Mus musculus: one gene and its partner. The protein of the gene in region 1 interacts with the protein of each later gene in a biochemical or structural test. Links are inferred from orthologs where the notes say so. Each region holds a gene or a part of one and is shown in the gene's direction. Other genes may lie near its edges.

Region 1 (16,944 bases):
AGAGCACGCTTCCTCCTAATTTAATGTCACTTTCAGTTCAGGAATGATAAGGCTAATTACATAACCCATCCAATGGATACATATTGCATAAATGTTGCACATAAATCATTACTCAATAACTGAAAGTCAAGCACTCAGCAGGATTACTGCTATACTAATTCAGAAGACAAGGAGAAACAGCACATAAGATCTTCATCTGCCTCACACATTAGTAAGTTTTGTTTTTTTTTTAATCTGATGTGTGTACCGCATCAGAAGGTCTGTTCGTGACTGCACAGCATACAAAGGTGACGTCACCAAGTGTTGATGCTGCTCAGTGACACTAGGATAGAAAATGAGGGAAAATATACAATATTTATCTGAGACCGAGTTAATTTGCTTAATTAAGTTGCATCCATTTTGTGAATGACAAACCCCATTATTTGTGACTGAAAAAAAATTACATTGTGTCTATACCCATTTTCAATAGACATTCTTTTAGGATGGACACATAGTTTAGTCCTATAAATGAGATACCCGTGTGAACTGTGCTGTCAGTCTAAAAAAAAATCGCTTAAATAGTTACTACAATACATAGAGTTGATTTATAGTTGTCAATATTGAGGATGCTGCTTCAGATAAATATGTACCATATGAGCTGGCAAGATAGCTCAGTGTTGGTCTGGAGAGATGGAGTTGGTTAGCATATACACAGAAAATAATGTCATAATTTAATATATATATATATATATATATATATATATATATATATATATATATATTATATATATACATAGAATAGGAAAATCTAGGGAGACATTTACTGGAAAATTTAGTCCTAATCTCAAACCAAAATTCACTGATTGATTTTCTATGAAATTCAAATCAGCCACGGCAATTTTAAAATCCAAATACTCATAACAATTCAACCTAAAGATTATACTACTATAATGTTTATATAGAAGGGATAACTGTGGGAAATGTCTTTCTGCAATTAAATCATTATGCTCACGTGAGAGCAGAACACTTTGTACAGTAAAACCAGTGCGAATCACACCATACACGGGGAATCTGTGCCAAGGTGTTTCAGGCAGTGTTGGCTGGCCTCGTGTGACACCGAGGGCATGGCAGTACAAAGGGCACGGGTGTCCTCACAGCCACAGCTGCAGCGACGCGGTAGGATTCAGTGTAGGCAGCAGTAGTGAGAAACAACCTAGGTTGGCGCGGCTGGGTTCGGCAGCTTTTCACTGTTGCCATTTTTTTTCTTTTGACCCCACATTGTTACTCCATAGTTTAAGAAAGGTTTCTGTTGTTGTTTTCCTATTGAATTCACAGAACTGCGGGACAGCACGACAACGACTTTCGCAAAGTTGTATCTTAAACCTTTCTTTAAAAAAAAAAAAAAAAAGAATCTCAGTATGTAGCCCAAGCTGGCCTGGCAATGAACAGCATTAAACCAGGCTGTCCTGGAATCTAGGGTTCCACCTGCCTCTGTCTCCGTAATGCTATAATTAAAGGAATGTGTGTGTGTTAAAATATTTTCGCTATTTAAGAGGATACGGTGGAAATCTGGGGGTAATAAAACTGCTTTTTACAAACAAGTATCTTTATAGAGGAAATATAATTAGTCTTCTGTGACTAACTGGAAATGTGAAAATGTACCTTTCTCTTGGCTGCCCTTCACATCATTTGGCTGAAAACCCTGCTGCTCCCGTTTCCGGTGGGTTAGGGACCTAGGACAGCCTGCACGGGGCGGGCTCTGCAGCCAAGGGTCACCCCCTGATCCCCCGTCACTCGAGGGCCTTTCCTTTCTCCAACTTTCCAAGGTGCGCCCGCACCCATCGACCTAAAGCTTTGCATTACTGTCAGCCCGGGCTCTTTTCCCCAGCTTTTTCTTAAAGCAAAGGCGGTCGTTCCCTTTGGCACCGCCTCCCTGCCCTCAGGCTGCAGCCGGTCCGACTCTCGGGTCCCTTAGAGCGGCCCTGGTCCGTACTTCCCATCCTCTGCGACACCTCTCCTAGGGCCTTTCCCGTTTCTCCCAAACGTGCACCGCCCCCGCACTGCCTCGCAGCGCCTTCGTCACCGCAGATCCTAAGCGGCAGCCTCCCGTCCCTCTCGGGTGTCTCCGACGCGTCCCCCCCGCAGAGGGGCACGGAAACCCTACGTTCCGGTCGCCCGTCCAAGCAGCCGCTTTTACGACACTGCGCGACCGCAGTGCGCGGCTGACGGCAGAGCCGCGCTGCTCTTGGAGAGGTCACTCCGGAGACGGCGGAGCCTTTGGGGCGTGGGGGTCGGTGGCAGTAATGTGGCGCGTCTGTGCGCGGAGGGCGCGGAGTGCTGTGCCCAGGGATGGGTTCAGGGCTCGGTGGGCGGCCTTGAAGGAAGGCCCCGGGGCCCCATGCGGGAGCCCGCGGATTGGCCCCGCTGCGGTCCGTTGCGGTAGTGGGATCCCCCGCTATGGGGTCCGCTCCTTGTGCGGCTGGAGCTCCGGCTCCGGCACTGTCCCGCGTAACCGCTTGCTGCGACAACTCCTGGGGTCGCCCAGCCGCCGCTCTTACAGCCTCCCTCCGCATCAGAAGGTGAGTGACCCACCCTGGAGCCTGTTGTCCTTCAGAGCCCGCTCCTTGGCGTGGGGAATCCTCCTTGAGAGGCCTCCGACAGCCAGCTCCCTCCCAGATCTATTACGGTCCCTCGCCCAAGACCTTCCCAGTGGGCATCTTTTCTATTGAAAGAGGTCTAAGCCTGCGGCTATGGGCAAAAGGTCTGAGAAGTCTCACGTGCTTTCTCAGATCCACTAGACTGACTGGAGGATCAACCTGCCTCTGAAAGTCATGAATTTCTGGAGTGCTAGATCTCCCTTTGTATCTCCAGTGAACAGTTTGAAATGTGACTCAGTAAATACTCTGCATGAACTTGGGTGGAATGAAAGCACGCCGAGGGCTAAGTATGCCTGTTTAAATGTATGCTTCTTTTTCTGCAGGTTCCATTACCTTCCCTTTCCCCTACAATGCAGGCAGGCACCATAGCCCGCTGGGAAAAAAAAGAAGGGGAAAAAATCAGTGAGGGTGATCTAATTGCAGAGGTAAGTCTTAAAACACGCAGATTTTACCTAAGGGAGTGGCTTTGCTGAATAGACTAAAGCTTAGCCTTCTGGTAGGTAGTTTCCTCTTTCTCTTTAAGAAGCAGCTCCCCTCCCACCTCCCCATTTATTAGAGATGATTGGTTAGCTACGTTGTCAGCAGCTAGCTAAATTGTTTTTGAGATCACGGTGTAACTCTGGCTGGCCTGCAATGCTCAGAGATATCCCCCCCCACCCCCAATGTTACAATGTTAGCAATGCCTAGCTTCTACCCAAAATGTTTTTAAACCGTTCTTTCAAGTCTGTGGTAGTGGGTTTTATCTTCGTATGGATTTCTAGACACATTCCAGTTAACTGCCTCTTGGCAGTACAAACCTAAGCCAGTGCTTTTGTGCTAACAGGTTGAAACTGATAAAGCCACTGTTGGGTTTGAGAGCCTGGAGGAGTGCTATATGGCCAAGATCCTTGTTCCTGAAGGGACCAGAGATGTTCCAGTTGGGTCCATCATCTGTATCACAGTTGAAAAGTGAGTAAAAACAAAAAGAAAAAAAAATCTTTGTAATTTGTGAACATTTGTTGCTTTTAAAGCATTTCAACTCAGATTGGAAGTTAAAGACATGTGAGGACTCGCTGGGAGGTTAGGGATTGGATTTGCTTTATAAATTCTATATTTATGTATTCTTTTTCTTCAGGCCTCAGGATATTGAGGCCTTTAAAAATTATACATTGGATTTGGCGGCGGCAGCTGCCCCACAGGCAGCCCCAGCTGCAGCCCCAGCTCCAGCTGCTGCCCCAGCGGCACCTTCTGCAAGCGCTCCCGGTAGCTCCTATCCTACTCATATGCAGGTAAGACTCAGCCTCTGAGTGCCGGCTCCTGGTGACTTGTTATTAATTATTTTATTGTCATTTTTCTCTATGGGTGGCTATTGTACTCTGAAAACGTGTCATTAACTATAAGTGCCTGTCATTCAGCCGTATTGAGAGATTTTAGCTGTGAAAATTATTCTTGTTGTTTCTAAGTGTGTGAGCCTGGACAGTTTCTTTAACCTTTCTCGGCTTTAGCCCAGGATACAGGATAATGCTTGGCTTTTCTCTTTCACAAACGATGTGAAAGGTTTCGGAAATGACTTTTTCCCCTATGCAAGTAGAATTTAAGTAGAGAACAGGTGCTATTTGCTGAATGAAAGTCCCCAGATGAAGTTTTCCTTTGGTTTAGAGTGGGCTACTTCTAAGCATAGATGAAGTATTCCAGTAATAGTCATTAGTGAAAAAATAACAATAAAGAATAAGTATGATGGTGATGGAGAGCTGGCTCAGTGGTAAGAGCACTGACTGCTCTTGTAGAGGTCTCAGGTTTGATTCCCTGCAACCACGTGGCAGCTCACCACTGTCTGTAAGTCCAGTTCCAGGGGACCCAGCACCCTCACAAAGACATGCATACAGGGAAAACACCAACGCATATAAAATATAAATAAATCATTTAAAAAGAATGAGCAGTATGGAATAAGTCTACAGGATAACATTCTAACAGTGCTGTTGGCCATAAATGTGATTACCACCAACCTAGATCAGCTCTAGGAAACCATCTTGTGCTTTTTCTTCCTAAACACAATCTAATTACAGCTTCCCACCCCAGGTCCTCCCTGCTTCCCTACCTACCCATGCCCTTTCCTTCTTCTTATTAGACATCTAAAAAAAAAACAAAAAACAAAACTAGAATAGGGCCAAACAAACAGGGGAAAAAGAGCCAAAGAAAATCATACCCAGACGCCAAAAGCCTGTGCACTTAATCACAGTATTAGATCTTAGAGTTTTCCTTTGTTTATCTTTCTGTGGTCTTGATGTTGGAAGTAAGTAAAATCTAAAGGATTAAGATTTGGCCTTTCCTTAACTTTATAAGAAGTTTTCTGGGTGAGTCAGTTTCTTCTCTGGAAATCACGTTCCAAGTCTATTGGTAACAATTCCTTATGATGAAATTTTTCCTGGTCTTTAGCTTTCATGATGATTTCTTTCAGTTCAGCAACCTTATTTTGTTACATAAGACCTCTTTTCTCCATTTTATCCTGCTCTGTGTTTAAGTGTTAGAATTGGGTCCTAAGAATCCTTTGAGATGGTAAAGATAAATAAATGAGTGTATTTCTCTTTCTACTGCCCCCCCCCATGCACACTCAAACATACACATTCATACTTTACTGGTGATTGTGCAACAAAGAAAAGAAATTCTGAACAAGAAATAATTTTTAAAGAGTTTCTAAGTCTTGCAGACATGGTGGCACACACCTTTAATCCCAGCACTCTGGAAGCAGGGGCATGCAGGTCTCTGAGTTAGAGGCCAGCTCAGTCTACAAATTGAGTTCCAGGATAGCCAGGGCTGTTATACAGAGAAAACCTGTCCAAAATAAAGATATTTGTTTTTACATGCATTTAGTGTGCACTTAAATGTGTAGAGGTCATTGTGGAAGTAAGTTAGTTGTCTTCTATAACCAGAGTGCGCAGAGAAGGGGGAGCTGGAAAGCGAGGCTTGTTGTTGACTTCAGTGAGAGACTCTCAAGTAAATGAGGGAGATAGCTCAGGATACCTTACATCCTCCTCTGGCTTCTCCACTGCACACTTATATACACCTGTGCATGCATCACACACACACACACACACACACACACACACACACACACACACATCAGAAAGCCTTTTGTTTTTTAACAGTTTAAAAAAATACAATGTATTGTTCCTCTATCTCTGAAGAATGGTATTTAGTTTTGTGGGTTTTCCCTCTAGTCCTGCCTCATGCATGCTAGTCAGCTACTCTTCTACTACTGAACCTCATCCTTTGCTCCCAGAATTGCTCTTAATGTTCAGTTTTAAAAATTGTGTGTGTAGACATGTGCATGCTGGTATTCCCGGAGACAGGATTGGATTCACTAAAGCTAGAGTTACAGGTGATTGAGAGTTGGCCCATCGGGAACCAAACTAAGATCCTATGCAAGAGCAGCAAGTGTTCTGAATCACTTAGCCATATCTTTAGTCCTTAATTTATATATATGTATATATATATGTGTGTGTGTGTGTGTGTGTGTGTGTGTGGTGTGAAATAAGTATGGTTTCTCATGAGTGAAAAGATGCTTATTGCAGAACACAGTAAATTCAGCAGTTTGTCTAGACCAAGATCGTTCTGTAAGAATGAAAAGGATCCACCTCACACAGTCAGAATGGCTAAGATCAAAAATTCAGGGGACAGCAGATGCTGGTGAGGATGTGGAGAAAGAGGAACACTCCTCCATTGCTGGTGGGGTTGCAAGCTGGTACAACCACTCTGGAAATCAGTCTGGTGGTTCCTCAGAAAATTGGATATAGTACTACCTGAGGACCCAGCTATGCCACTCCTGGGCATCTACCCAGAAGATGCTCCAACATATAACATTCCAACATATAACTAGGACACATGCTCAACTATGTTCATAGCAACCTTATTTATAATAGCCAGAAGCCAGAAAGAACCCAGATGTTCCTCAACAGAGGAATGGATACAGAAAGTGTGGTATATTTACACAGTGGAGTACTACTCAGCCATTAAAAACAATGACTTCATGAAATTCTTAGGCAAATGGATGGAACTAGAAAATATCATCCCAATCATAAAGGAATACACATGGTATGCACTCACTGATAAGTGGATATTAGCCTAGAAGCTTGGAATACTAAAGATACAATTCATAGACCACATGAAGCTCAAAAAGAAAGAAGACCAAGGCGTGGATGATTTGGTCCTTCTTAGAAGGGGGAACAAAATATTCACGGGAGGAAAAGCAGAGACAAAGTGTGGAGCAGAGACTGAAAGAAAGGCCATCCAGAGACTGCCCCACCTGGGGATCCATCCCATATACAGTCACCAAACTCAGGTACTATTATGGATGCCAAGCAGTGCATGCTGACAGGAGCCTGATATAGCTGTCTCCCGAGAGGCTCTGCCAGTGCCTGACAAATACAGAGGCCACGCTCACAGCCAACCACTGGACTGAGCACAGGGTCCCCAATGGAGGAGTTAGAGGAAGGACTGAAAGAGCTGAAGGGGTTTGCAACCCCATAGGAAGAACAACAGTGTCAACCAACCAGACCTCACCAGAGCTCCTTGTGACTAAACCACCAACCAAAGAATACACATGGAGCTATCCATGGCTCTAGCTGCATATGTAGCAGAGGATGGCATCAGTGGGAGGAAATGCCCTTGGTCATGTGAAGGATTGATGCCCCAGTGTAGGAGAATGTTAGGTGGAGAGGCGGGAATGGGTGGGTGGGGGAACAGCCTCATAGAAGCAGGGGGATGGGGGAAGGGATAGGGGGTTTCTGGAGGGGAAACAGGGAAAGGAGATAACATTTGAAATATAAATAAAGAAAATATTCAATAAAAGGAAAGAAAAAAAAGAATGAAAAGTATTGGTGGTAACCTAGATCAGTGGTTCTCAGTCTGTGGGTCAAGTGACCCTTTCATATAGGTCACATCAGATAGCTGCATACCAGAAACTTACACTAGATTCATAACAGTAACAAAATTACACTTATGAAGTAGCAACCGATCTATTGTTATGCCTGGGGGTAACAATAACATGAGAAACTGTATTAAAGGGTAGCAGCATTAGAAAAATTAAGAACCACTGACCTGGTTGAAAAGATACTTTGTGTGTCTGTGCAGAGAGGCGGGTGGGAGAGAGGTTTGTTTTGACCATCTGGAAGAAATCTTTCCATCTTCCTGTTGCTTTTCACTTTGGAGGATGGGTTAGGGTGTCTAATCACTCTTGTTTTAAAGGTTGATTTAACTGGGAAAGCAATTAGTACAGACCTTTGTGATGGGTGACAAGGTCTCACTGTATAGTTGGTAAGCATGCGCTTACCTGAATGCTTTTATGCGTCCTGGTTAAGCAGTGATGTGTGGCATTTGTCTCCACAGATTGTTCTTCCTGCCCTCTCCCCAACCATGACCATGGGCACGGTCCAGAGGTGGGAAAAGAAAGTGGGCGAGAAGCTGAGTGAAGGAGACTTGCTGGCAGAGATAGAGACCGACAAGGCCACCATAGGTGAGGAGGATGGCCATCAGTACATTTTTTTGTACTGAGTGAGTGGTAATGTGACATTTACAGTCCTGAGATTTGCTGCCTGGGTCATATTTTATAAAAAGGTCATCACAGCCACACGTGTCAGTTCTGAGCTGTACTCATCAATGGAGGATATGTCAGGGTCTATTCTAAGGCCTGGGTTCACTCTCTTGGCTTTATTTTTATGGTACTCAGAAGTTGTACCAGCACTGCCATTGTCTAAACATGGGAAAAGAAGGAGGGAGGAGGAAGATAGTCATGCCCTCTAGGGCAGGAGAATACCAAAGCCTTTCAGGTGCCTCTGAGGGAAAACAGTACCCAGGGTGTAGATTAGTCTCATAATCTGAAAGTGCCATGGATGTCAGTCTTTTTCTCATTTCCATGTGCCCCTTTATTGACTTATTCACCATGCAGTCATGTACTGTGCTTGTGTCTATTGATAATCCCAGGTGTTCTGAACCTGTTTCCACTCTTCCGTGGTTTCCAGGAGCAGAAGGCCCATCCACGCCATAGTGGCAGAGCAGGACATAGGCATCAGGCAGTAGTGGGCACAGACAGTGCTCGTCACCATTCTCTTGGTAGCCTGGGCAAGTGATATCAAAGAGTAAGGACCCCCCCTTAACATACTATACCTTTTTTATAGTGTTTTTCTTCCTCCTTCTTTTCTTCTCCCTCTTCTTCCTCTTCCTCTTTCTCCTCCTCTTCCTGCTCTTTCTCCTCTTCCCCTTTCCTCTTTTTTCTTCTTTGAGATGAGACTGTGCTAGGATTGCAGGCTTGTACCACCGTGCCTGGTTCTTTCATAGCTATTATTAGAAGAAATGATTCTTCCTTAAGGAAAAAGCAAGGGCCAGCAGGGTGGTTTGGTGTGGGGTAAAGGGTGCTTGCTGCCAAACCTTAGATGTGCCCTACCTCTGTCCATCTTCAGCACAGCTTCTATTGAGTATTCCCGGTTGGGAAAATGGAAGAATTCATTAGAGATGTGTCTGTCCATCAAGAAGCATAACTGCAGAGAGCAAGTTCTGAAAGGCAGAACTTGCCCTTATCAGTAGCTTGGTTTTGCTGTTTTTAATTAAATTAAATCAATCAGTAAGTTTCTGAGACAGGGTTTCACTCACCCTAGATGGTCTGGAAGTCACAAGAGATCTGAATGCTAAGATTAAAGTCATGCATCATCATGCCACGCTGCTATTTCCTTACAGAGAACTCCTTGCTATATAATCTCGTTTGCTCTTGAACTCATGTTGCCCAGGCTAACTTTGAGCTACCATCCTCCTGCTTCAGGCTCCTGAGGGTGTGGTTACAAGAAAACACTCAGCTTTGGCCTTTACTTTGTAAGTCTTCAGTGTTGAGAGAAACAGTAGCGGAGTAACTTCTTGCCTGCTGATGCAGAGACCCCCAGTGATACTGTATTTCATAACACTGGAAAATGTAGCGTAATGCCAGGCATAGCCTTTGAGGAGCTCTGAGAACACTTTTACTGCTGAGATCCCATGTTACCGTCCTGCTGCTAGTTCTTGTAATTTGACTTCCATGTAACTCTGACTTCTAGCAGTCTAGCTGATACCATCTTAGTGTCCTGTAAGTGCCACATAAAGCCACCCTTGAGGCGTTCTCAGTAACTCTTAGAATGTGCCACTGTCTGCAGTCTTGGTAGAACAGACATAGTCAGTGTCCACAAGGGATTGGCTCCAGAAGGGCATTCGTGCGAGCTCAGCACGAGTGCAGGGTTTTGTTTTGTTTTGTTTTTTTTCTTTTTTTCCCAAATTGTTTTGATCTTATAGATTTGGAGGGCCAACTGCATTTTTCATTTATACTTTGTGCAGGGTAAGTACTTAAAAACATTAATTGACTTAAATCCATTAACATTTATGTAAGGATTATATGGTCAGCCATTCCTTGGTATATGTGTTGGCACTCTGATTTAAGTCTATAGATTCAAGTTCCCTAAATAAGTGGACATAGTATTTGGAGGGTGGGTCTCAGGCCTTGAGTATATTAGTAAGCCCTGTATTACTGAGCTATGCCTCTAGCCCTGTACACTTTAATCATCATTTCCAGCTACTTGTAATGCCCAGTACAACAGAGCTGTGTGAGTAGCTGTTACACTGGACTACTTAGGAAATAGTTGCAAGAATAAAAGTGTGCGCTAAGTTCAGACCTCCGAAGCCTAACTACATAGTACATGCCAGCAACAATGTAACATTCACCTTCAGCCGAATGGATTTTAGGGATGCAGGACCTGTGGTCAGAGGGTTCACTGTGCTATTCTTGTTCCCATGTTAAAGACAGAAATAGAGGCACAGAAAAGTTAAGTAGTTTGTCAAAAACAAAACAAAGCCAAAAAACAGTGCTAGTAGTTTGAATATGAAAATGTTTGGGCTGGTGAGATGGCTCAGTGGGTAAGAGCACCTGACTGCTCTTCCGAAGGTTCGAAGTTCAAATCCCAGCAACCACATGGTGGCTCACAACCATCCGTAACGAGATCTGGCTCCCTCTTCTGGAGTGTCTGAAGACAGCTACAGTGTACTTACATATAATAAGTAAACGAATCTTTAAAAAAAAAAAAAAAAAAAGAAAAGAAAAGAAAATGTTTTACCTGAAACACTAGTGAGGGTGTAGGAATGGTGGAGGCTTGAGTCCCATAATGATTTTCCTTCTACTTAAGGCTTTGAAGTACAAGAAGAAGGTTATCTGGCAAAAATCCTGGTCCCTGAAGGCACAAGGGATGTTCCTCTGGGAGCTCCACTATGTATCATAGTAGAAAAACAGGAAGATATAGCAGCATTTGCAGACTACAGGCCAACAGAAGTGACCAGCTTAAAGCCACAGGCAGCACCACCTGCCCCACCCCCGGTAGGTGTGGTTCTGAACTGGGGAGTTGTCTGTTCAGGCAGATAATAGCTCAGGTTCCTGGGTGTCCAGATCCTACACGAAGGAAAGTGACTGGCGGTACCTGTTAATCTGTGGTGTGTATGTGTGCGAGTGAGCTTGCATGCGCGTGCGTGCTCGTGTGTCACGTGCTGTCCACCTGATGGTCAGTAGTTTACTCTGCCGACATCTTAAGCCTTGCTGAGAACAAAGGTAAATTACATGACCTGCTAGTGGTGTGTTATCATGTCCATGGGAGGTGATGGTTTCACCCCACATTTTCTGTTGCTCAACTAACGACCTGTTTCCACTCTCAGTTCTGGTACTTGTGGTTGTAGCTGAAGAAGTGTGTTTTGGACCTTGGGCCCTGAAGTGGCATGACTCGTTGTAGCATCATGCACTTGCACTCTCCAGTGTACTCCTCCATGGGTTTAGAAGAGCTGCACACTTCCTCAGAGGAAGCTTGCATTCACAGTCTCGCATTGATTCGGATGCTGTCAGGGAACGGGGTGGTCCATTCCTTAAGATACTTGAAACGTGGGAGCTGATGCTATCATTTTCCATCCTGAAGTGAGATTAAATAAAGCAGAGCTCAGGTTAATATAAGGAAATAAAGAATGGACAGGAAGCAAGGTATTTGTGGTTTGGGTACTTGGGAGGCTGTGGCAGGATGATCACTGTGGCTTGCATAGTCTCAAAGGGAAAAATGACAAGAAATGACAGGCAGCCAGTATGTTATACATAGGTCAGTTTTAGTTCCACACCTCTCTAGTTAGCATGAACTGTTTTTGACTCTGTCAGAAAATATTCTTGCCATTCGTCTTTTATGTTAGTCAAGCCAGGAAAGTGCATAACATCATTTAATTATAAAGAGTTTTCCATTATAAAATATGAACCTGTGTTCTGTCAGATTATCTTTGCAGTGATGAATGGATAGATGCTCTGTAACTTTTTTCCCAAAGGTGGCAGCTGTTCCTCCCACTCCCCAGCCTGTAGCACCTACCCCCTCAGCTGCTCCTGCTGGACCAAAGGGAAGGGTGTTCGTTAGTCCTCTTGCGAAGAAGTTGGCAGCAGAGAAAGGGATTGACCTCACCCAAGTTAAAGGTAAGTGTCTTTCTGAAGAAAGGGGTTATCCAGGTACAGTGTAGTTAAATGCTGTGTGTAAGGCCAGCACCTATACCTGTGTGGAAGGAGACAGACATCCTTGCTGCCTTCACGGAAGGCAAGCATCACCGTGTTCTATTCGATCTGCCTAGGATTGCCTATGTAAGCTGTGTGCCTTTTCAAACTCTCCTCTATTCATAGGAAATCTTCAACAGCAGTGATAAGGGAAGGAAGCGTCCCTCACATTTCCCCTGAGAGCTCTGAGGAGCTCCTGTAATCTTAGGAACCTGGACTCAGGCAAACCCAGGTTTTGTACCTTTGGTGCAGACAAGAATTTCAGGACTTGTTAGAATGAAGCTGAGTTGGGGTTTTATTAAAAATAAAAAGGTGTTTCTGAGCCAGGCATGGTGGCCCACTCCTATCTTTGAGTACAAGGCTAGCCTGGTCTACAGAGTGAGTTCCAGGATAGCCAGAGCTACACAAAGAAACCCTGTTCTTTAAAAACAAAACAAAAAATGAAAAGAAGAAACATGCTCACAAAAACATCAAAAGCACATCAAAGGACAGTGTTGTTTATTAAAAGATACTTTTGATGAAGATTTTAAGGATGGACATTAAGAGAAATATCCTCTGGGAAATAATTTATACCCAAGTTTGGATATGAGCTTTTTAAGAGGCAGTCAGAGAAGGTCAGACATAACCCAAGTGTAATAGTGAGTCCGCGGGGAGAGTTGCAATTAGATGCTCCATTTTAGCCATATACCACTGTGGTGGCTCTCTTCTTGTTCCTTCTTCCTCTTGGTGAGTGGGCTTGTTGGGGTGGCACTGGAGGTGTTGTGGATGGAATTATAATCTATAGATAACACCAGGAGCCATAAGGGCTACATATAATACAAGTCTTCTATTATAAATGGGGCTTTTGATGAGCTTCCTAGGAAATTGTTGTTTTATCACTGGGAGGAGAAACACCTTTAACAGATGTGGATGTTGGAATTCTTGCTTCTCAGGTGCTGAGAGGCTCCGTCTACTTCAGGATGAGGAGGAGTTCCTTTCCCTTCTCATAGCCCCACAATTTCCTTGTCTCTATCCTGTCTTACTTAAGTGTTGGCAAAAGCAAATGTGTTTGTTGAGCAGTGTTGAGTTATAAGACGTGTCTGTGTAATAAATCCCAGTGTTAGGTTAACTGAGTGTAGCAGTAAGCAAAACTGGCTCATCAGGTAAAAGTGCTGGCTGCTGCTGACCTGAGTACTGTCCCTGGGACCCACAGAGTAGAAACAGAGAACCGACTCCTGTCATTTGTCTTCTGACCTCTGTGTACAGTGTGACACCTAATGCATAAGGGTTGAACTCAGGTCATTAGGCTTAGCAGTAACATCCTTACACATTGAGCTTTCTCAACAGCCCAGGGTTTTTTGTTTGTTTGTTTGTTTGTTTGTTTTTTGTTTTTTAAACAGGAACCTAGTATCATAGTAGGCAGGCACTGTAACACTCATATGTATTCCTACCCCTCTCTTTACTTTGTACTGTTATAGCATCTCAAAATTAAAAAAAATTGCCCAAGCTGGCCCTGAACTTGCAATGTTCTTTCTTCAGCCTCCTGAGTAGCTAGGATTAGAGGCCTGAACATCAGGTCCTATTTTAATTTCTGTATTTTCCCCATTACCCCGTGCTGTCCTCAGATCTGCAATTGTTGCCCTCAGTCTGGTTCTCACTCAGCACCAAGCTGCAGTTTGTTGGTGCATTCTTTATACATCTGTGCTTATATCAGACGAGTTTAAGGTATTACATAGAGCAGAGGGGCTGAGTTAGTAATTGTGCCTGCAGAACCTGGACTAGTAGGGTCTTTTGTTCGAGAGGTAGTGGTGCTGGATTTTGGTAGAGGGGTGAGTTGAAGGACCTTGGTATTGTTTTCCTGCAGGTTGGGTTAAGGATTCCTTTATGAGCAGCTAAGCACATGGTTCTGAGAAGCACCTGTGCATCAGGTCCTTGTTTGTAAGGTGGGGAACGTTCCGACCTCACTGGCCGGCAGGAGCGGATGAAGTAACAAAAGTCTAGCGAGTGGTAAGGATGGGACCCAGAGCTAGAAGGCTCAGGTTTGAATGTGAGCTCTGCCTTACGCTAACAGTGTCACCTTTTCTGGCTCTGTTACTTGTATATAAAAATAATACTTAATGCGGTGTGAAGATGAATGAGTGAGCAGTGCTTGCGCAGAGAAAGCATATTAGCTATCCTGGCTCTACTGTTAAGAGCTGGGGTGACTTAAGGATGGATTAAGAAAGACTCAGGGACAGATGCGGCGACTTTTAGGATGGATGAGGGGACCTTTCTGAGGAGTGATACATGATCTCATGTCCAGACAAGGAGTCATCTGTGCACCAGCCCTGTGAAAGGTCAGAGAAAAGCATTTTGGCAGAGGGCGCTCCACCCGTAGCCCATGGCCTGGAGTCAAACAAAGCCTGACTGAGGACCATACGGAGCATGGGAGGAAAGGGAGGGCAGGGAGCGCAGAAACAAGGCTGCTCGGCCTGCCTGTGTCTAGCTTCCCCTCTCCCTGTAGGCGGGATTGGTGCAGGAAGCAGGGGAGGGCCAATGGAAAGAAGATCGAAAGGTCCCACACTAACCAAGTGTTTGGTCTTCAGACAACAAGTGATGTCCCTTAGCCAGAAGCCCCACCCTCACTCACCTTGTTAGCATAAACTAGTGTGACGTAAAGAGGCTTGATTGGAGAAAGCAAATACTTACCACATGGGGAATTTCCTAGATTTTGGAAGGCCCAAGCCAAAAGCCTGGGACAAAGACCAAACTTACCTGTGTATGACAGTACTAGAAAGAGAAGACGTGTTTCTTGTGGATTTCAGGGACTTAAATTTATTTCTTTATTCATTATTGGGGCTGTGGAGGAGGGAGCAAGAGAAAGAAAAACATAAAACTCTATTGTAGAAGAAAAAAAAGTCAGATAGAGGGGCACGGTAATTAGGAAATTTAGCCAAAACGTTAACTCCTGAGGAAGAAACTGAGGATTCTGGTGTTGAGAGCCCAGTGGTCGTGTGTGTGTGTGTGTGTGTGTGTGTGTGTGTGTGTGTGTGTCGTTGTTCTCACAGTATAGCTCTGAACAAGGGCTGCCACTGTCATCTCCACCCTACAGATAAGACAGGTGACTGTCGTCAGCTGCGTAATCCCACAGAGTGCTGCGTGTCTCTTGCCAGCCAGCTCTTCCCTTTACCCCTACTGCCTTATGATCACCCGTGTGCTTTGTTGGGGAGCTGGCAAAGCAATTAAAAGTGTTTGCTGGCTAACACACTAACTGTAATGGGGTATGGCATCAAGCTCTGTCCCGGCTGGTGGCAGGGGAGGTCATGGTTTCTCTCTGCTTAAAGGGTGGGGAATCTAACAGAGGTCCCGCCGCCTCTGTTCTAGAGCTCCCGGTGAAGAGAGAGTTCTAGCCAACTGTGTTTTCATAACGAAGGGAAGGAGTTGGGAAGAAGTGCACACAGCGGGAACCCTTTAAAAGGCTGCCGTGGGGGAAGGTGAATCAATTTGACCAATTTTTTTCTAGAAGTGGGCCAGTGTAAAAGGTATTATAATAACTAAATTCTGAATTTGCTTCAAGGTCAGGCTGATGTACTTGGGCCTAAGCCTAAACCTGAGACCCTAACCCTGAGGTAAAGATGGGAGGAAGGAGGGGAGTGTGTGTAAACAAAGCCTGTGGGAGAGCCTGCCGGTCTCAGAGACAGTGTGGTGTTTCCTCCTTGCTTTGTCACATGGGTTGATTTAGTTTTGGTTGGGGTGAAAGACCTGAAAATTGTGGAAAATGAATGATTCTAAGGATGAGATCATTGCAGTTGCACATCATTCATGCTATTCTGAAGTAAAAAAGGGTTATTTCTTCAGAAAATTGCCAACCTTACACAAAGATTGTACCTTATGGTCAAATAAGAGTATTTCAAGGTTCAGTGAGTTGGGGTGCTGTTTGGTTTTTGTTTTTGATTTTTTTTTTGTTTTGATTAGCTTTTTAAGATAACCACAGTCAACAGCTAATTTTCCTTTTCAATTATAAACTATGATCAGTATTATTATGTCTGTGTTTCACAACTTAAAGCAAAGAAATAAACAAAATAAAGAAAATGCAAGAAAATAAAGAATTTAATTTAGCTAGATAAAACTTTGAGAGAAAAATGGTTACTATTTACAGTAGTTTAAAAGAATCACTGTTGGCAGGGGTGGGGGGATTGGGGGTCAATCTCGGAAGGGGCGAAGTAGGAGAGGGGGGCAGTCGGATCTCTTGTGTTGGAGGCTATCCTGATCTACAGAGTGAGTTCCAGGACAGCCATGGCTATACAGAGAAACCCTGTCTCCAAAAAACAAAAACAACAAACAAAACTAGTATTTGTCTGGGGCACTTGGTTAATGAGCAGTTAACAAAGCTGATGTCCTGAGGGAGATGGGGTCTTTTCAGGGTCACAGTGCTGACCTTGGAGATCCAGTGGGATGCTGCCACATATGCGATATTTATGTGTTTCTTCAGGGACGGGACCAGAAGGCAGAATCATCAAGAAGGACATTGACTCTTTTGTGCCTTCTAAGGCTGCTCCTGTGAGTTATTTTTGGCTTTTTAAAATTGTAACTTCATTTCATTCATTCATTCATTCATTAAGTTTTAGCCACAGTCAGCTTAAAATTATTATCATTGTGGGGACTGAATCTTGGGGCCCTATACATGCTTGGCAAGCACTGGGCTACATCCTGGCCCACAGCCTTGCGTTTATATTTTCTTTCTTTAATTCTTCAATTAAATATGCTTTGCTTTTTCTCCACCCCCACACCCCA
Region 2 (16,251 bases), on another chromosome or scaffold:
AGCTCAGGGCTCAACTCCCCCCCCACCCCCGTTCTTTATTCATTAACCTTTCCTAATTGGAGAGGAGGCCTGCCCCACCCACCAGGCCTAGAGGTGGTACGGACAGCAGGGCTCACCCACACCCTCCCTGCTCATTGGCTTCAAAGAGCAGAATGAGCCTCCCTGGTCCTCCCTGAGGACAGAGCTAACCACACCTACTCACCTTTTAAACCGAGGGTTCCCGAGGCAGGTTCCAGATCACTCTGGGAAGAGGTTCTGTGTCAGCAGCTAGCCTGCTGGCAGCACCCGTTGTCCACTAGAAGCCTCAGCCCCCTATGGAGATACCAGGATCTTTGTCAATAAAGGGGCTCAGCGAGGCAGGTAGATGTCTGAGCCCTCTGTTACTGTAGGACACTTGGGCCTCAGACCCCTGTTCTCTCCAGCCTCTAGAGAGGGGGTGATTTCTGGACCCTCCCAAGGTTGCTGCTAATCGGGTTCTGGAGCAAAGACATGCACTGTTAAGGGAACTGACAAATTCAAGGTTTTCTTGGACAACTTACTAGGTTGTCAGGGAGACCCGGAGCGGATAGAATGGGGTGTTGATTGTCAGCCTGTTCAGCTCTGTGCGCCACCTACCATAGCATCTGAGGGGTGAGAGGGAACATTGTGTAGTCTCAGCTGGGCTTATGAACTTCTCTGCTTTCACACAGGTATGTCCAGAGTCTGCTGGACATCATGGAATTCCTGGACAAAGACCCCGAGGACCACCGGACTCTAAGCCAGTGAGTGAGCACCCTCTTTAGGGACAAGAAGGCAGGTGCAGGCAAGGACATCTTGGTCAGGGCCACAAGGATGGAATGCCAGCTGGGTACAGGGAAAGGCCCTGCCTTCAGGGATGTGCCAAGAAAGGGGGGAGACAGGCTACTTCTGGGAAAACCAGGTCTGCTGCGAGAGACGAGAATGCTAATTATCAGTATAGCAAGAGGATGTGGGGGAGCCCTGCCCCCAGAACAAACCTTCAGAGAAACCGAGAACTTTAGCTGTAAACAGGAAGATGGATGGAGAGCTGGGACAGTAGTGGTGGGCTTCCAGTGGGTGAGCTTCCGTGTGTCTGTGGGTCTGGGGAGGAGAAAATGAAGGAACTGATAGGCCATTGGGAATAATGGAGAGCCAGGGTGTCCCCAAACCTGAGACTGGGTAGAGGCAAGTGTCTGCCTTCTCTGAAGGTTCACAGATGCCCTGGTCACCATCCGGAACCGGCACAATGACGTGGTGCCCACCATGGCACAGGGAGTGCTGGAGTACAAGGACACCTATGGAGATGACCCCGTCTCCAACCAGAACATCCAGTACTTCCTGGACCGCTTCTACCTCAGCCGCATCTCCATCCGAATGCTAATCAATCAACACAGTGAGTCCTGCCTGGCTGCTTCGGAGAGGGCAAGGGGCCCGGCAGGGCACGCCAAGAAGGGCACCGCCCCCACAAGAAAGCAGGCTCCCCACTTCAGCCTCTGGGCTCAGAGGCCTGAGTGGCATTTGGGAACTGAAGAGTGTGGCTTAAGTCATGTGTCTATAACCCTAGCACGTGGGCAGCTGAGGCAGGAAAATAGTATATGTTTGAGGCCAACCTCAAAAAAATTAAGTAAATAGAAAATTTAAAAAGTAATTGGTTCCCAAAGTAAAGTAAAAAGTGCAACACTGAGGTGAAATTCTGTTGTTGTAAATATTTGTAAATGTCAAACATGCTACGTGTTCTGAAACAATTATATTTATTTATTTATGCACATGTGCACATGTTGTGGGCAGAGGACATCCTGCAGTTTACGCTCTCTTTTCATCATCTGGGCCTTGGGGATTGAACTCAAGTTGTCAGGCTAGGCTGCAAGCACCTTTACGCACTGAGCCACCTTGTGAGCCATTTACACATGCTGTCCCCCACCCACCCATACCCACACCCAACACATTAAGAACTCCATTGTATTCAAAAACGGTTTATCATTTACCCTTTCCTGTCCAGAGTTTTCTATGCTGGTTGACAAAGCAGAGCTAAGTTAAGTGAGTTCTTTATGTTCTAAGAAAAGCAAGCTGATGGAAGTTATCTTACAGTATTGTGTGAAGATATGAAAGCAAAGCGTACCTTTAAAGCTGGGCTTGGTGATGCACAGTACTTGGGAGACAGAAGCAGGCGGATTTCTGAATTCACAGCCAGCCTGGTCTACAGAGTCAGTTCCAGGACAGCCAGGGCTACACAGAGTAACTCTGTCTTGAAAAAAAAAAAAAAAAGAAAATACATACACACACACACACACACACACACATACATACATACAGATATATACACACACATATACATGTACACACATATATACATGCACACACACATATATACATGCACACATGTATGCATACATGCATATATACATATGTGCACACACAGATACATACATGCATACACACATACATGTATACACACATACATATATACATACATGCACACATGCATACACACATACATATACACATATACATACATAACACACACATATACACACATGTATACACATGTACACATACATACACATATATACATACATATATAATACACATGTATACACACATATACATACACACATATATACATACACATGTATACATGCATACATACATACACACATAAATACACATATACATACACACATATATACATACACATGTATACATGCATACATACATACACACATAAATACACATATACATACACACATATATACATACACATGTATACATGTATACATACATACACACATAAATACACATATACATACACATATACACACATACATACACTTATACATATATACACACATATATATAAACACATACATATATAGATACACACATAATTCATATACTCATACATATATACATATATACAAACATGTATATGTACACACATAAACACATATGCATACATGTATACATGCATATACACATACATACATATATACATGTATACATATACATACACTTAACAGGGTATGATGTGGAGAGGACTATGGAAGGACTGCTGTAAGGTGCAGAAGCTCTGGAAGGCCCAAGCTAGAGGGAAACAAGACTTGGGGGGCATGGTTAGCATGGACCATACAAAGGCCTACAGATGAGGTGAAGAGTGGGGTGTTTAGGAAGAGGGAGAACTAGATCCTGTGAACTTGCCAACCGCGCCCTTCCCTCTGCCCACAGCCCTCATCTTTGATGGCAGCACCAACCCAGCCCACCCCAAACACATTGGCAGCATCGATCCCAACTGCAGCGTGTCTGATGTGGTGAAAGGTGAGCCCCCCCACCATAGGCCTGGCCCACAAAGGAGCTCCAGGGACCCCTCCCAAATAGCCAGGTCAGAAGGTGATCCATTCCCAGCAGATGGGGGGGGGGGGCATGTCAGTTTTCACGTCAGTGCCAAAGGGACTGCTGCTGGGTCAGCCTCCCATAACCTGAGTGGTCCTGTCTCCTCCCAGACGCCTATGACATGGCTAAGCTCCTGTGTGACAAGTATTACATGGCTTCCCCTGACCTGGAGATCCAGGAAGTCAATGGTAAGCAAATGAGTGTGTGTACATGTGTATCTACATGTGTGTGCACATATGATTACACGCGTGTATGTGTATGTGTATGTATATGTGTGTACATGTATGTGTGCATGTACCCAGGCAGGCCAGAGTAGGGGAGCTAGGAGGTCAGACCCCCCTAGAGAGGAGCTGCTCTGTATTACCAATTTGTTGGATAATTGCTCACTATTTGATATACTCAACATGTAAAGAAGACAGGCAAGGCCCCTGTCCTCACAGAGCGTACATTCTTGGTGCTAGGGAGGTTGAGACCTGTGATAGGTGACCACTGACCATGCAAACACACCAGCTAATTTGAAAACCTCACAAATGATAGGAGGGGCAGGGTGTGGGGTAACAGGCCGGAGACTGGAGAGTGATGCGTGATGCCCCCAACCCAAGAACCAGCATCTTCATCGAGAGGTGCTTCCGGTGGTCAGAGCCGGTACCCAGGCCTCCCATGCCTGGAAGGAAGGAAGAAGCAGGGTTGAACTTGGGGCTTCTAAGGGTTACTAGCTGTGGCTGCTCGGAGTGGGTGCAGCCACTTAGCCACCTAGGCTAGGTACAGCTGTGGAGAGAGGGAAGGTCTGCTTTGAAGGTGACCTTGCTGTATGACTCCTGGCCCTGGTCTCCATTCCCACAGCCACCAACGCCAACCAGCCCATTCACATGGTCTATGTCCCTTCCCACCTGTACCACATGCTCTTTGAACTCTTTAAGGTAAGAGGCTACCCTTCTCGGGGGTGGGGGTAGGGGCTGGGCAGGGTCAGCTCTTGGCCCCCAGCTTCAGCAGGTACCTTTGGGGCTGGCTTCTCTCACTGCATCATCCTTCATTCCCTTCCCAGAATGCCATGCGGGCCACTGTGGAAAGCCACGAGTCCAGCCTCACACTCCCCCCCATCAAGATTATGGTGGCCCTCGGTGAAGAAGATCTGTCCATCAAAGTATGTGACCCTTGACTTGGCCATGGGAGGTTACAGGGTGGGGCGGGGGGCAGAGGGAGGAGTGGAGCACATAACCTTGGAGGGTATCTCACATGCCCCCTGGTCTCCCAGATGAGTGACCGAGGCGGGGGTGTCCCCTTGAGGAAGATCGAGAGGCTCTTCAGCTACATGTACTCCACAGCTCCCACACCCCAGCCTGGCACTGGGGGTACCCCGCTGGTGAGATAGACGCCTTCCTCCAGTCCCCTGGCTCCTGCTTTTTAAACTCCCAAGCATATCCCCCTCCCCACAGCCCACCCCATGGCTGTGTGGTGTGACAACAGTCTCCTGTTGTGACTCCAGGGCCTCCTCTCTCTCTACCGTTTGCTAATAGCCCCCTGCCTGCTGATCATCCGCCCATCTGTTTAGCTGTCACTTCTCCTTGGCCCTCTCTCCTCTTTCTCCACCGCATTGCTAATTGCTGTCGCCTCTGTCCCTGCTCCTGTGGAACAGGCAGTCCTAGGCTTAGGGAATAGACTCTAAGGAGCTTTTAACCACCGGCCTGGGTAGAACTCTCCCGCCCAGACCAGCGTCTCTCCATGCATCCTCTGCAGTCCCCCTGCCTCCCACCTACTCCCATCTGCTTCAGAAATGTCCCTTCTCCACCCCTGCTCCAGCGCCCCTGCCTGTCCCCAGTCCAGCATTCCTGGCTCACTTTATGACCTGTGGCTCCTCTGTAGGCTGGCTTTGGGTACGGACTCCCCATTTCCCGCCTCTACGCCAAGTACTTCCAGGGGGACTTGCAGCTTTTCTCTATGGAGGGCTTTGGGACAGATGCTGTCATCTATCTGAAGGTGAGGCCCGCCAGGGGCAAGCTGGCTGCTAACGGGTTTCTACCCATCCCTCATCCTTCCTGACTCCAAACTCAGTTTTGGCTCTCCAAGACTCAGAGGAGCCTTGGCTCCTCAAGCACTGTAACTTTAAACTAATGTGGTAGGCAACTTCAGGGGGTCTAAGGTCTGTGAGTAAGGCCCCTCTTCTGAGAAACCCTAGGCTAGAAGGAAGGGAACCTTACAGGTCTTGAACTTCAGTTGATCCGAGTGTACCTTGGTGATTAATAGGGATCACACAGCAAAGCCTCCCTCCCTCTTGATCCTTTTTGCCCCCCTGATCGTGGAGGGGCCAGCTTCATGGAATGGGCCAGGGCAAGAGACAGAAGGCTGACTCTTTTAGGGGCTTTTCCAGGTCTGGGGTAATGTCTCAGGCTAATGCCTGGTTATGAGGCTGACTCAGACCTGGGTTAGGACTCCAGGGATGGAGACCATCAGGGCCTGGGTGGGAGAGGGTAGTAAGCTGGGGTGTGGGCAAGCAGGAGGTTGATGGCAATGCTCTCTAGGCCCTGTCCACGGACTCAGTGGAGCGCCTGCCTGTCTACAACAAGTCTGCCTGGCGCCACTACCAGACCATCCAGGAGGCCGGCGACTGGTGTGTGCCCAGCACAGAGCCCAAGAACACATCGACGTATCGGGTCAGCTAGGGGCCTTCCCTCCCTGGCACCTGTAGGATGCTGCCACCTCTGAATCCAGCCACCACAGGGACCTTCCCTATCTATCCCCTAGGGTACAAGGGGTGAAACTGGGTCTCCCTGATGGCCAGATCTGTCTTTGTAGAAATCTCAGTGGCCCAACTGTGGTGGTCCCTAAGTGCCAATATGTCTCTGTGGAGAAACCCTAGGGGGTTTCCCTGGAACCCGGTTTCCATAGTGATGCTTGAGGGTTGGGGATGGCTCTCCCTGATGGGGTGGCCCAGAGACACTTCTCCCAAGATCAGAACTGTCTGTTTTCTACTAGAAGCCCTGGTTCCCCCTCACTGCCTGCATAGTCCTGGCCTTCCAAGTGGCTGCTCCGCTTGCCTTATGCCCACACACTGTACAGGCACATTTGGGCTGGGTTCTTTGTCAATGTTAAGAAGGATGGAGTGCCCTCAAGTCTGGAGAGGGACTGGGGGAAGATAGGGTCCACCCTTGACTCTGATCCTGCAGCCTCTATCTCTACTCTGGATGGTATGAAGTTGCAATTGGGAACTTGAGAGTAGGTAGCGATTCTCACCCGGGGCCCACCGAGAGGGCAGGCCTAGGAGTAAGCTGCCCCCAAGGTGATCTTAGCAATGTTTCTGTTTAGCTGCTTCCTAAAGCCTTGCCCACCCAGCATGTCCTCACGTGCACACCTCCCCTGCCCAGTCTACACCCACCCTATGCTGCCTGAGCTTCAGACCCCACCCCACCCCTATGCCCACTATGTGTGCACAAGTGACTCACCCCTAGGACAGCCCTATGTACATAGCCAGTTTTGTAATCTCAGAAGCCCTGCCCTTCCCCTCCACACACAGGGGTTAAAGCCGTGTGCCCTCCCAGTGGCTGGGATGGTGACAGTGACATCCACAGTAAACAGATGAAATGTGACTGCTGCCTGGCTTCCTTGCTCGGGGAGGGGGAGCCCACACATGAAGCACCTGTGAAGACTGGTCCCCTAGGACTAACTGTACTCAGGACCTAGGCCAGCTGAACACGCCACCAGGCAGGGCCGTCCACTCAGGCGTAGCTTAGTCCCTTGTCCCAGACAAGAAGATCACTGGTGTGTGGTAAGTATTTATTGAAAGAAGTTGATAGCCATCTTCCCCCTTCACATGCAGGTGGGCACACTTGGCTCTTCACGGCTTCGGGGACAGTAGAGCCTCCACCCTCCCCACCCAGTCTAGGAAGTGCCAGTGCCCCGATACCTTAGTTTTCCCTATGAGGCCCCCTCTTCCAGTGAAGGTGACTGAGCACAAACATAGGGCCCTGGCCTTCAGCCACTTTCCCAGGCAGGAGAGAGGGAGTTAACATGCAGGTCCTGTTCACCTCTCCAGGAAACTGGGAGGGGTGGGGGTTTGTCATCTAAAACCTGGGCCTAGTAGTAACTGACCAGCACCCAAGAAGCTGGGTCAGCATTGCACCTGGACCCTCTATCTCTGAACACGCCCTACAAAGGACATGTGCCAGTCCCACGCGGGGCTGGCCCAGTCCCCCTCTGTAGCCTAGCAAACCTAAGCCAGCAGTGTCTGTCCATCCGCCCCAGGCCTCTGAGGCCTTGACACACCCAGGGCACCAGGGAAGCTGATGGACCCTTTCAATCTGGCAGCATGCAGGCCACACTTAGGGTGTGCCTCTTCACCATCTAGACACTAGTTGGGGGAGTGACCCGTGTCCCCAACAGCTCTCAATTTTTCCTGCCCTCGAAGGCTCAAGTACTCTCCGAAGAAGTGGATTTTAGCTCTGCGAAAGGGACTCAATGGGAGAGGAGCAGACCTGTGTGCTGGAACCTGCAGGTGAGGGAGGGGAAGAGAGAGAGAGTGAGTGAGAGCTCCCTTCTCCCCCTCTGCCTTCCTTACAGAGGCCAGCTTATCCTGCCCTGCTCTCTCTCTCCTCTGAGGAGGTGTCTGGGAATCCACCCTGAGTGCTACTGGCACTGCCCACTGGCCTCTCTGGGGAGATCTGTTCTCCCACCACACAGCCACCTTCAAAAGGTGAGGAGACACAGCTGTCTCCTGTCTCCAGTCGGGTTGCCCAGGCTACTCTCTAAACCTAGGAATCCTGGCCATGGTAGGGCCTCTCCTGCTAGATTTCTTCCTGCTCGGACCACTCTAGTCAGAGGGCGGAGGTTCCACCTGAACCAGGCTCCTCTGGGCTCCGCGTTTGCTGCATTCCTGGCCTCTGCCCTCTTCATCTGCCACCTGCTTCCCCCTGGAAGTCTGCGCCAAACAAGTCCTCGAAATTGGGTTTATTACTGGGCCCTCCCCCCTGGGGTCTCCCTCCAGAGGACTCAGTCCAAACAGGGTGAGAGGGGGGCCGCGTGCTCCGAGAGCCTGGTGCCTGGACCCTGCCTCCCTGGTGAGGCCCATGTAGGTGGCTGCAAGTGCGCCGGGGTGCCAGCCCCGCCAGCCATCCCTAGCTCTTCTTGGCATCGTTCTCGCGGCGCCGCAGCTTCTCCCGCTGCTTTGCGGTCTTCTCCTGCGCCTTCCGTTCCTTCTCAGCAGCCGCTGCCAGCTCCTTCAACTTCCGCTTCACCAGTGCTCGGTCATGCGAATTGCTGAGCCCCAGGCTCTGGGAAGAAATCCAGAATGAAGGAAAGAGGCCTAGAACGCTGCCCCACAGACCCACTAGAGTCTGCTCGGAAGTCTGGCCTTTGCCTAGGGATCGGGGTCCCAAGGTAGGAGGAATGGCTTGCAAGTGGTCAGAGATGACAACTCTCTGGCACTAGGCCATTTGCGACCCCGTCCTTGGCGCCAGATCCTTAACCTAGGATTTCAGCCTTAGTATGATCCTGCTCAACCTCTGAGGTCCTCAGAGTGAAGAGTGACTTGTTCAAGGTCAAGTGGCTTATCGGCTAGGTCCCTTCCCGTTTCAAGAGTTCCTATGGGGGGCTGGTGAGATGGCTCAGCCGTTAAGAGCGCCGACTGTTCTTCCAAACGCCCTGAGTTCAAATCCCAACAACCACATGGTGGCTCACAACCATCCGTAACGAAATCTGATGCCCTCTTCTGGAGTGTCTGAAGACAGCTACAGTGTACTTACATATAATAAATAAATAAATAAATAAATAAATAAATAAATAAATAAATAAATAAGAGAGTTCCTATGGGGCTCTCTCTCCCTCAGTCCCAGGAACCTGCAGATATTGGAGGCCACCTCTCCACACTGTCCACTTAGCACGCCAGAGCCTGGTGGTATCCAGGATCTGAGAATGAATATGGGATGGAGCTGGCCAAGAAAGTGGCCTTGATGGTAGTCCAAAGATCAAGGTCAGCCCAAAGACCCGGGCTGGAGCTAGAAGGTCAGATAGAAGCGATTAGGCTTGAGTTTCAAGTCAGATGGAGGTGTTGTACTACACTGCGAAAGGAGTACCTTGCATAGAGGTCAGACACCGGGTCAGAGGCTACACAGGGAGAGCCAATGCCAGGTCAGTCCAGGAGGTAAGTCAGGGTCAAAAGTCAGGACAAAGGGTGATTTCTGTCCCTAAAAGCTATCTCAATCTGAAAGATCATCACCTCTGCACTCTGACCCACCTTCAGTTTGCTTCCGTCCAGCTGCAGGAGCTGCGGCCCATCCACCTGCCGGGCAGCAAACTCGGCAGCATACTGCTCCAGGTTGAGGCTGTGTAGCCACTGGCCCACCTGCTGGCTGGTCCAGTGTTGTACGGCAGGGAGGGACTCATCCAGGAACTGATAGAGATGGGGAGAGTACAGGAAGCCTGGCCTGCGGCTGGGTCCCCCCCAGCAGGCACAAAGGCCAGCCTCACTCACCTCATCCGAAGACTGGGACAGCGTGTGGTAGGGATAGGAACACTTGGTCTCCTGTCGAGGACCACCGGGGATCTTGGGGCTGCTGCTGGGGGGTGTGGAGTCATCGCTCAGGGTAGATTCCTACATGGAAAGGGACGTGTGCCGAGAAGTAAGTCCACCTCCCACCCCAAGCCCATCACCTGACCAGAGCAAGCTGAAATACTACACTAGGCACCAGCAGCCGTTCAATGCTCCAGGACCAGGAACTCAGAACTAGACAGCCAGACACAGGCTGTGATGACTGAAGTGACATATCAGAACCTGAGCCCTCTAGGAGGGAGCGGACTACCTAGAGGACATAGTCCTAGCATTAAGTTAGGCTGATGGATGAAGAGGAATGGAGGGGGCTAGGTGCTGTTCCCTATAGGCAGCTTACCAGAATCCCTCCCCCCAGGCTAGGTCTTGTGTCCCTGTTACATAACAATTCTTCTCCTGGGCTGGAGGGATGGCTCACGGGTTACATTAAGAGCACTGGCTGCTCTTCCAGAGGTCTTGAGTTCAATTCCCAGCAACCCTATGGTGGCTCAGAACCGTCTATAAGGAGATCTGGCGCCCTCTTCTGGCCTGCAGGCATACACGCAGGCAGAACACTTGTTTACATAATACGTAAATAAGTCTTTTACAAAAGAATCCTTCTCCTAGAACTCTTGCATCCTGGCTGGTGGGTACCCCCAAATGGCCTTGAATCTCTGTGAGGACTTGGGCTGTCTCTCTCTCAGCATGGTGTCCCTTGGGACCAGCACAAAGGGAGGGACTGAGGAAGACTATCAGGTGGTTATAGACTAAAGCTGCACATCAGACGGGCCTTTCCCCTGAATCCCACGATTTCTGATTCCCCTAAGCCCCAGCACCATACACAGCTGTGCACATCTGTGGGTGAGTCCCCTTTTCCCCAAACCTCATTTGCTTATCTGTACAATGCAGATAATAATGACTACCTTGCCTAAGTCACAGTTAAAGCCACAGACAATAGTGGTCTTTGTGAACATAAGGAGACATTAGTATTGGTTGTGTTGATGGTTCCTATCGCCTAGGGTCTGGAGCTTTCAGAAGACTACGTGGGGGTCCTGCTCATCTCCGCTATCTCCAAGACTTCCCATCATGCACATGGCCAGCTCTTGATGGCACTGCACAGTCCAGACCTGACTCAGGCAGAACAGTAAGAAGAAGGGCTCCTCAGACTGAGTGAGCAGTGGAGGGCCTCAGTGTTCCCACAGGAGTTCTGAGTATAGGGAGCAGTATAAACACATGAAATACGAATGGGTACGAACGCACGAGGCATGACTGAATGAAGCCAGAGAGTAGAAGCAAGCCATGAGTCACCAGGCAGCTCTGTAGAGGGACACTATGGGTCCCAGAAAAACCTGGGTCCCAGTCCAAGCCACGATGAAGTATGTTCTTGTCCTGAGCCTAGAAGCCAGTGTGGGGCAAGAACGTCCCGGGGTTACACTGGGAAGGATGGCACATTCTTCTAGTCCCAGCACACAGAAGGCTAAGGCAAGAGGCTGTGTAGTTCCAGGCCAGCCTGGGCTACAGAGTAAGACTGCCTCAGCAGGGAAAAAGAAAGAAGGGAGGGAAGGATAGATGAGAAGAAGGAAGGAGAAAAAGAAGGAATGAAGACCTGGGCTTACCTGGGAAGCTGACTTCTTGGGGCTGAAGCCCTCGTGTTTGGGGGAACAGGTCGGGGAGGTGGTACTCCCCGAGGAAGCAGAGCCCTTGCCGCTGTCCGTGAACCAGGAAAAGGGCAGGAACGGGGAGCTTCCTGTCCTTCCAGAACCTTCTACAGACTCCCTGTGGAGAAAGCATCCAGCATGGTGTGGGTGACCAGGAGTGGGTGGGAGCTGTGGGTGGGCGGGTGGGTGCCATGGGGACCTCTCACCTGCTGCCCATGGACAGGCGGTTGCTACCCTTCTCCTTCCTGCTCCTGCTGGTGGATGCTCGGCGGAGAGTGACCCTGGAAGGAGGCAGGGGGGGAGAAGTAGGGCATACCTGCCCACTGTGATGCTCTGACCCCAACAGCTCCAAGGACACTTGCAATATCTGTCCCCACTCACCCCAGGTCCAGGAATTTCCTGCGAGTCTTCTTGTCCAAGCCGATGGTGGGGCTGGCAGGCTCAGGGGGGCTGGCATCCCGGCTGTCATCTTTAGAAAGAGAAGGGGAGGAAAACAGCTAACGCAATGGTCTGCTGGCCTCCTGCCGCCGCCTGTGTCGGGTAGACATTTCTTGACGTAGAATTAGGCCATTTGGCCCTAGGGTTCTTCATTAGCTGTGTGACCCAGGATAAGACACTGTCTGTGTGTCTTATTTCAAGCAGAGATGAGCCAATTTTACAGTATCTAATGGGAGCCTAGGCTTTTGCCTTTTACAAACTGTAAAAGCACTTTACATCTGAGAAGGCAGGACCGTTTTGGTTTTGTTGCTGTTGTTTTGAGACAGGGTTTCTCTGTGTTACCTTAGCTGTCCTAGAACTCACTCTGTAGACCAGGCTGGCCTCAAACTCAGAGATCCACTTGCCTCTTGCCTCCTAAGGGCTGGGATTAAAGATATGTACCACTACCACCCAGCCAAAGGTATTAGTATTAATTAGTTCTTTTTTTGAGACAGGGTCTCTGGAGCTCCCTATGTGGCCTTGGACTTCTGACTCTCCTGTATTCGCCTCCTGAGTACTGAAAACCAGGGTACATGACCATATCTGGTATTCTGTCATGTTTCCTGCCTGCTAGGCATACTACTGACTTTATCTTGACCGTTTTCTAACCAGTCTTTCAATCTCGGCTCAAATGTTGCCTCCTCAGGGAAGCATTTCCAGTCAGGTGAGGACACTTAACAACTGTGCATATTTCCTGCATAGCTTTTATTACAGCTTGTACCTATACGGTAATTATGGGGTGATTTGGTTGTTTCTTTCCTAAGCTACACGTCCCCAGAGGCCAAGGGCTGTCTCTATTCTCTGTATGGGCACAGCGGTGTCTGGCATATAGTAAGCTTCTGTAAATGAAGAAGGGAACCTGATGGCCAGCCAGCCTTCTGTCTCCCCTGTATTACCCCAACTGCCTGGCCTAGCTGCGATTCTGATGCTCGATGCTCGTTGGCAGGCAGCGCCGCGCCTACCGAGCTCACCTTCGCTGTGCGGCTCTGCTCGAGGGTAACGACGCACGAAGCTGGGGGAGCTGTCGGAGGAGGGTGCAGAGCGTGGTGGCGAGCCGGAGGTGGCGGCCAGGCCCTCATGCGAGGCGGCGTTGTGCAGGGGCCGGTACCGAGCGAGTGGCGAGGGCGGCGGTTCGTCCTCATCCAGACTGCGCCTCAAGCCCGGGGGCTCCAGGCAGAAAGATCCACTGGCTGGGGAGCCTGGACCCGAATGTAGAGGCGAGCGCAGCCGGTGCAGCGGGCTACCGCAGCCGTCGGTCACCTAGAAGAGGGGCAGCGGTTCAGCGTCCCCCCTGACTTCCCAGAGGATGGAGGCCAGTTTCCCCCATCGGCTGTACAGGAGCGCCAAGGAAGCTCTGTTTCTTGGGGTCTGGAGAGCAGGTATTCTGGGACCCGGGGCTGGAGAAATGGATTCTCACAAGAAGTGAAGACATCCTGCTTCATTTGCACATCCCACAGTTAATGGGACTTCCCGAACCTTCTGGTCTCAGCTTCATCTGTAAAATGGGCTAACAATCCCTTTTCCTGTACAGAGGTACAGGAGCCAGAAGTGAACTGCTAACTGATCTTTGGGAGCATCTCCGGGGGCACACACTTCCCTGGAAGCGTGAGGGAGGGGGTATGGTCCAGGGGTAGGATGTTGGTGTGTGTATGTTACCCCAACCTTGCCTCCGGGCCCATCAGAGCCTTCACCGTCCTCGGCAGAGCTGGCACTGTCTCGTAGCCTGGAACGGGAAGGCCGGTGTCTCCGGCCCTTGGCCAGCAGTTGAGCCCTGGCTTTGTGTAAGCTGCTGTCCAGTCTGGTGGTCTCTGGTACAGCCAAGTCCAGGTCTGCAAACGGAGACCAGAGCCACCTCAGATGGGCCAACATCCCAGTCATTTAACTGGTGCTTGGGAGTACCACCTACTGTGCTTGTGGGTTGAAATGTGGGTGCCCCACAGTTGGGCTGGGCTCATAACCCCACCTGCTATCATCCCAGGTCCTCCTGTGGGCATGGCTGGCCTATGTGCAGACACTCACAGAAACAGGGGTAAGAGGAGGCACACCCACCTGGATCCTAAAGTTTGAGTAAGAGTTGGCAAACTATTGGAATGGGTGGGAAGTAAGAAGTAGAGATGGAACCCCTGGGTGGCAGGAAATAGCTCTGTGGAAATAGGTACTCCCCAGTGGATTGGAAAAGCAGTGGAGACCAGGTGGATGAAGAGGCATCTTCATGTACCCAATGCTATACACCTCACTTTCCTCCTTAGAGCTACCTGGGTTGGGGGTGAGGGTCACAGCATCTGGGCCATGGTTCATAGCTGAGCCAACTAGGATCAAAGAAGGCAAGTCACAACTGGAGCCACTGACTAGTGACAGTGTATCATCTGGAGTGTGACTCTAGGAACAGTCCCTCCTGGTGACACTGTCTTGCTGTGCCACACTCAAGGCTGTATTTAAGGATAGCTGTGTTATTCGTGACCACACACCAGTGTCAGACCCAGGAGCAAAGTTCCCACAGGCCCCTGCAACTTGTTTCTTGGGTCCTGGACTCTGCAGCGCAGTGCCAAGTCCTTCGAGGACTGGGAGAAGGAGGAAGAGGAGGAGGAGGAGGAGGAGGAGGAAGAGGAAGAGGAGGAGGAGGAGGAGGAGGAGGAGCCCTGCTGGGAGTGAGGAAAGCTCACATGCACTTTTGTCACCTGCCCAGTTAGGCAGCACTGGCCTTGGTCTGGCCCTGACATCGGCATTGAGGTCTCCCCAGGCTTCAGGATGGGTCAAGACCTTCCTGTTCGATCCTCTCTTAATATCTCTGGGACCCCACTCCATCCTTCCAACCCTCTGTCTTGCCTGCTCCTCTCCCGTCTGTAGACATCCCAAAGGCACCCTTGTTCAATGGCCACTTTGTCTATTCCCAGCCCAGACTTCTCCACTAAATGCCAAGCCTAAGCCCAGAAGCAGCCGCCAGGAAACCCCCAAACCAGAGCCCCCCAGTGCCTCAGCCAAACACCACCCATCAGAGCCCTACATGGTGGTGCATGCCTTTAATCCCAGAAAGGCAGAAGCAGGTAGATCTCTGTGTTCAAATTCAGCCTGCTCTACAGAGCAAGTTCTAGGACAGCCAAGACTCTCTCCCTCTCCCTCTCCCTCTTCCTCTCCCTCTCCCTCTCCCTCTCCCTCTCCCTCTCCCTCTCCCTCTCCCTCTCCCTCTCTCTCTCCTTCCCTCCCTCCCTCCTTCCCTCATTGGCTTGCTCTTTAATCATCAGGCATCTTGCCCCCTAGACCAATGGTCTATCTGCCCAGGTTAGACAGCTCTGAGCTACCCTTCTCCCTTCAGCCCTCCTAAATCCTGTTCCCTGAGCAACTACATAAGGTGCACTGTGCTTTTCTCTCTACTTCTGAGAATGTCCGAGGGTATTGTTATTATTAAGCTTTGTGTATGGGGGGGGGGGCATGTATACATTAGACTGCAGATAGCCTCACGGTTCAGAAAAGGGTCTCGGATCCCCTAGAGGTGGAGTTACAGGCTGTTGTGAGTTGCCAGATGGTGGGTACTAGGAACTGAATTTGGATCCTGTAACAAGAGCATTGCCTGCTCTAAACTGCCCACTCTACAGCCCAAGCTCTTAGGCTTTGTCAGTGAAATATTGTTTATGAGTGAGAATACACATGAATACATGTGCACATAGTGGACAGGGGAGGGAGGGAGGAAGGGGAGGGAGGAGCGAGGGATGGGGGGACTAGGTCTCTGCTGTTCTCTTGCCTCCTCTCCCCTTTCCCACTTAGAGGATTTTCAACACAGCAGCCAGAGTGATCCTGATTTGATGTGTCAACGCTGTCAGTCCCCTGCTCAGAGCCATCTCAGGCAGAATCAGAGCCAGCCCCCCCCCCCAGTGGCTGTCTGTGCCCCACTTATATCTCTGAGCGTCTGCCTCCATCCCCTCCTCCCAGCCTGTACCTCCCAGCCTTTGCACATGCGACTCCCCTCCATATACTCCAAAGGACCGTTCCTGTTGTTTCTTATACCGTGTGTCACTCTCCAGCATTCTGAATGCCTTTGTCATTTAAGTCTTTTGCCTCTTTCCATCTATTAAACTGTCGGCTCCTTAAGGATCGAGTTTTCGGTTTGTGACTAGCGCATAACAGGTGCCTAGCATACTCTCTTTTAAAGGAAGAAAGGGGCCTGGTGGTGGTGGTGGTGGTGGTGGTGGTGGTGGCGGCAGCACACACACGCCTTTA

The links.
Region 2: the proteins of Dlat (region 1) and Pdk2 form a complex in vitro, tested with the Homo sapiens proteins (2 studies listed by BioGRID). The link is inferred for Mus musculus from reciprocal best matches to the Homo sapiens genes DLAT and PDK2.

The regions. Positions count from the first base shown.
Region 1 is NC_000075.6:50,644,805-50,661,748, reverse strand, and holds the start of Dlat (dihydrolipoyllysine-residue acetyltransferase component of pyruvate dehydrogenase complex, mitochondrial), read left to right. Parts: upstream 1-1,968; 5' UTR 1,969-2,282; coding exon 2,283-2,558; intron 2,559-2,959; coding exon 2,960-3,061; intron 3,062-3,459; coding exon 3,460-3,584; intron 3,585-3,750; coding exon 3,751-3,904; intron 3,905-8,000; coding exon 8,001-8,127; intron 8,128-10,810; coding exon 10,811-10,998; intron 10,999-11,975; coding exon 11,976-12,117; intron 12,118-16,642; coding exon 16,643-16,710; intron 16,711-16,944.
Region 2 is NC_000077.6:95,016,975-95,033,225, reverse strand, and holds the end of Pdk2 (pyruvate dehydrogenase kinase, isoenzyme 2), read left to right. Parts: intron 1-202; exon of another isoform or gene 203-469; intron 470-483; exon of another isoform or gene 484-623; intron 624-689; coding exon 690-761; intron 762-995; exon of another isoform or gene 996-1,098; intron 1,099-1,205; coding exon 1,206-1,390; intron 1,391-2,116; exon of another isoform or gene 2,117-2,216; intron 2,217-3,219; coding exon 3,220-3,309; intron 3,310-3,494; coding exon 3,495-3,572; intron 3,573-4,227; coding exon 4,228-4,304; intron 4,305-4,429; coding exon 4,430-4,528; intron 4,529-4,639; coding exon 4,640-4,747; intron 4,748-5,247; coding exon 5,248-5,361; intron 5,362-5,903; coding exon 5,904-6,044; 3' UTR 6,045-6,968; downstream 6,969-16,251. Other genes in the region: Samd14 (sterile alpha motif domain-containing protein 14), read right to left, coding at 8,493-8,648, 9,611-9,766, 9,848-9,967, 11,518-11,677, 11,766-11,840, 11,941-12,028, 13,008-13,296, 13,693-13,865. UniProt on the Homo sapiens protein: Kinase that plays a key role in the regulation of glucose and fatty acid metabolism and homeostasis via phosphorylation of the pyruvate dehydrogenase subunits PDHA1 and PDHA2.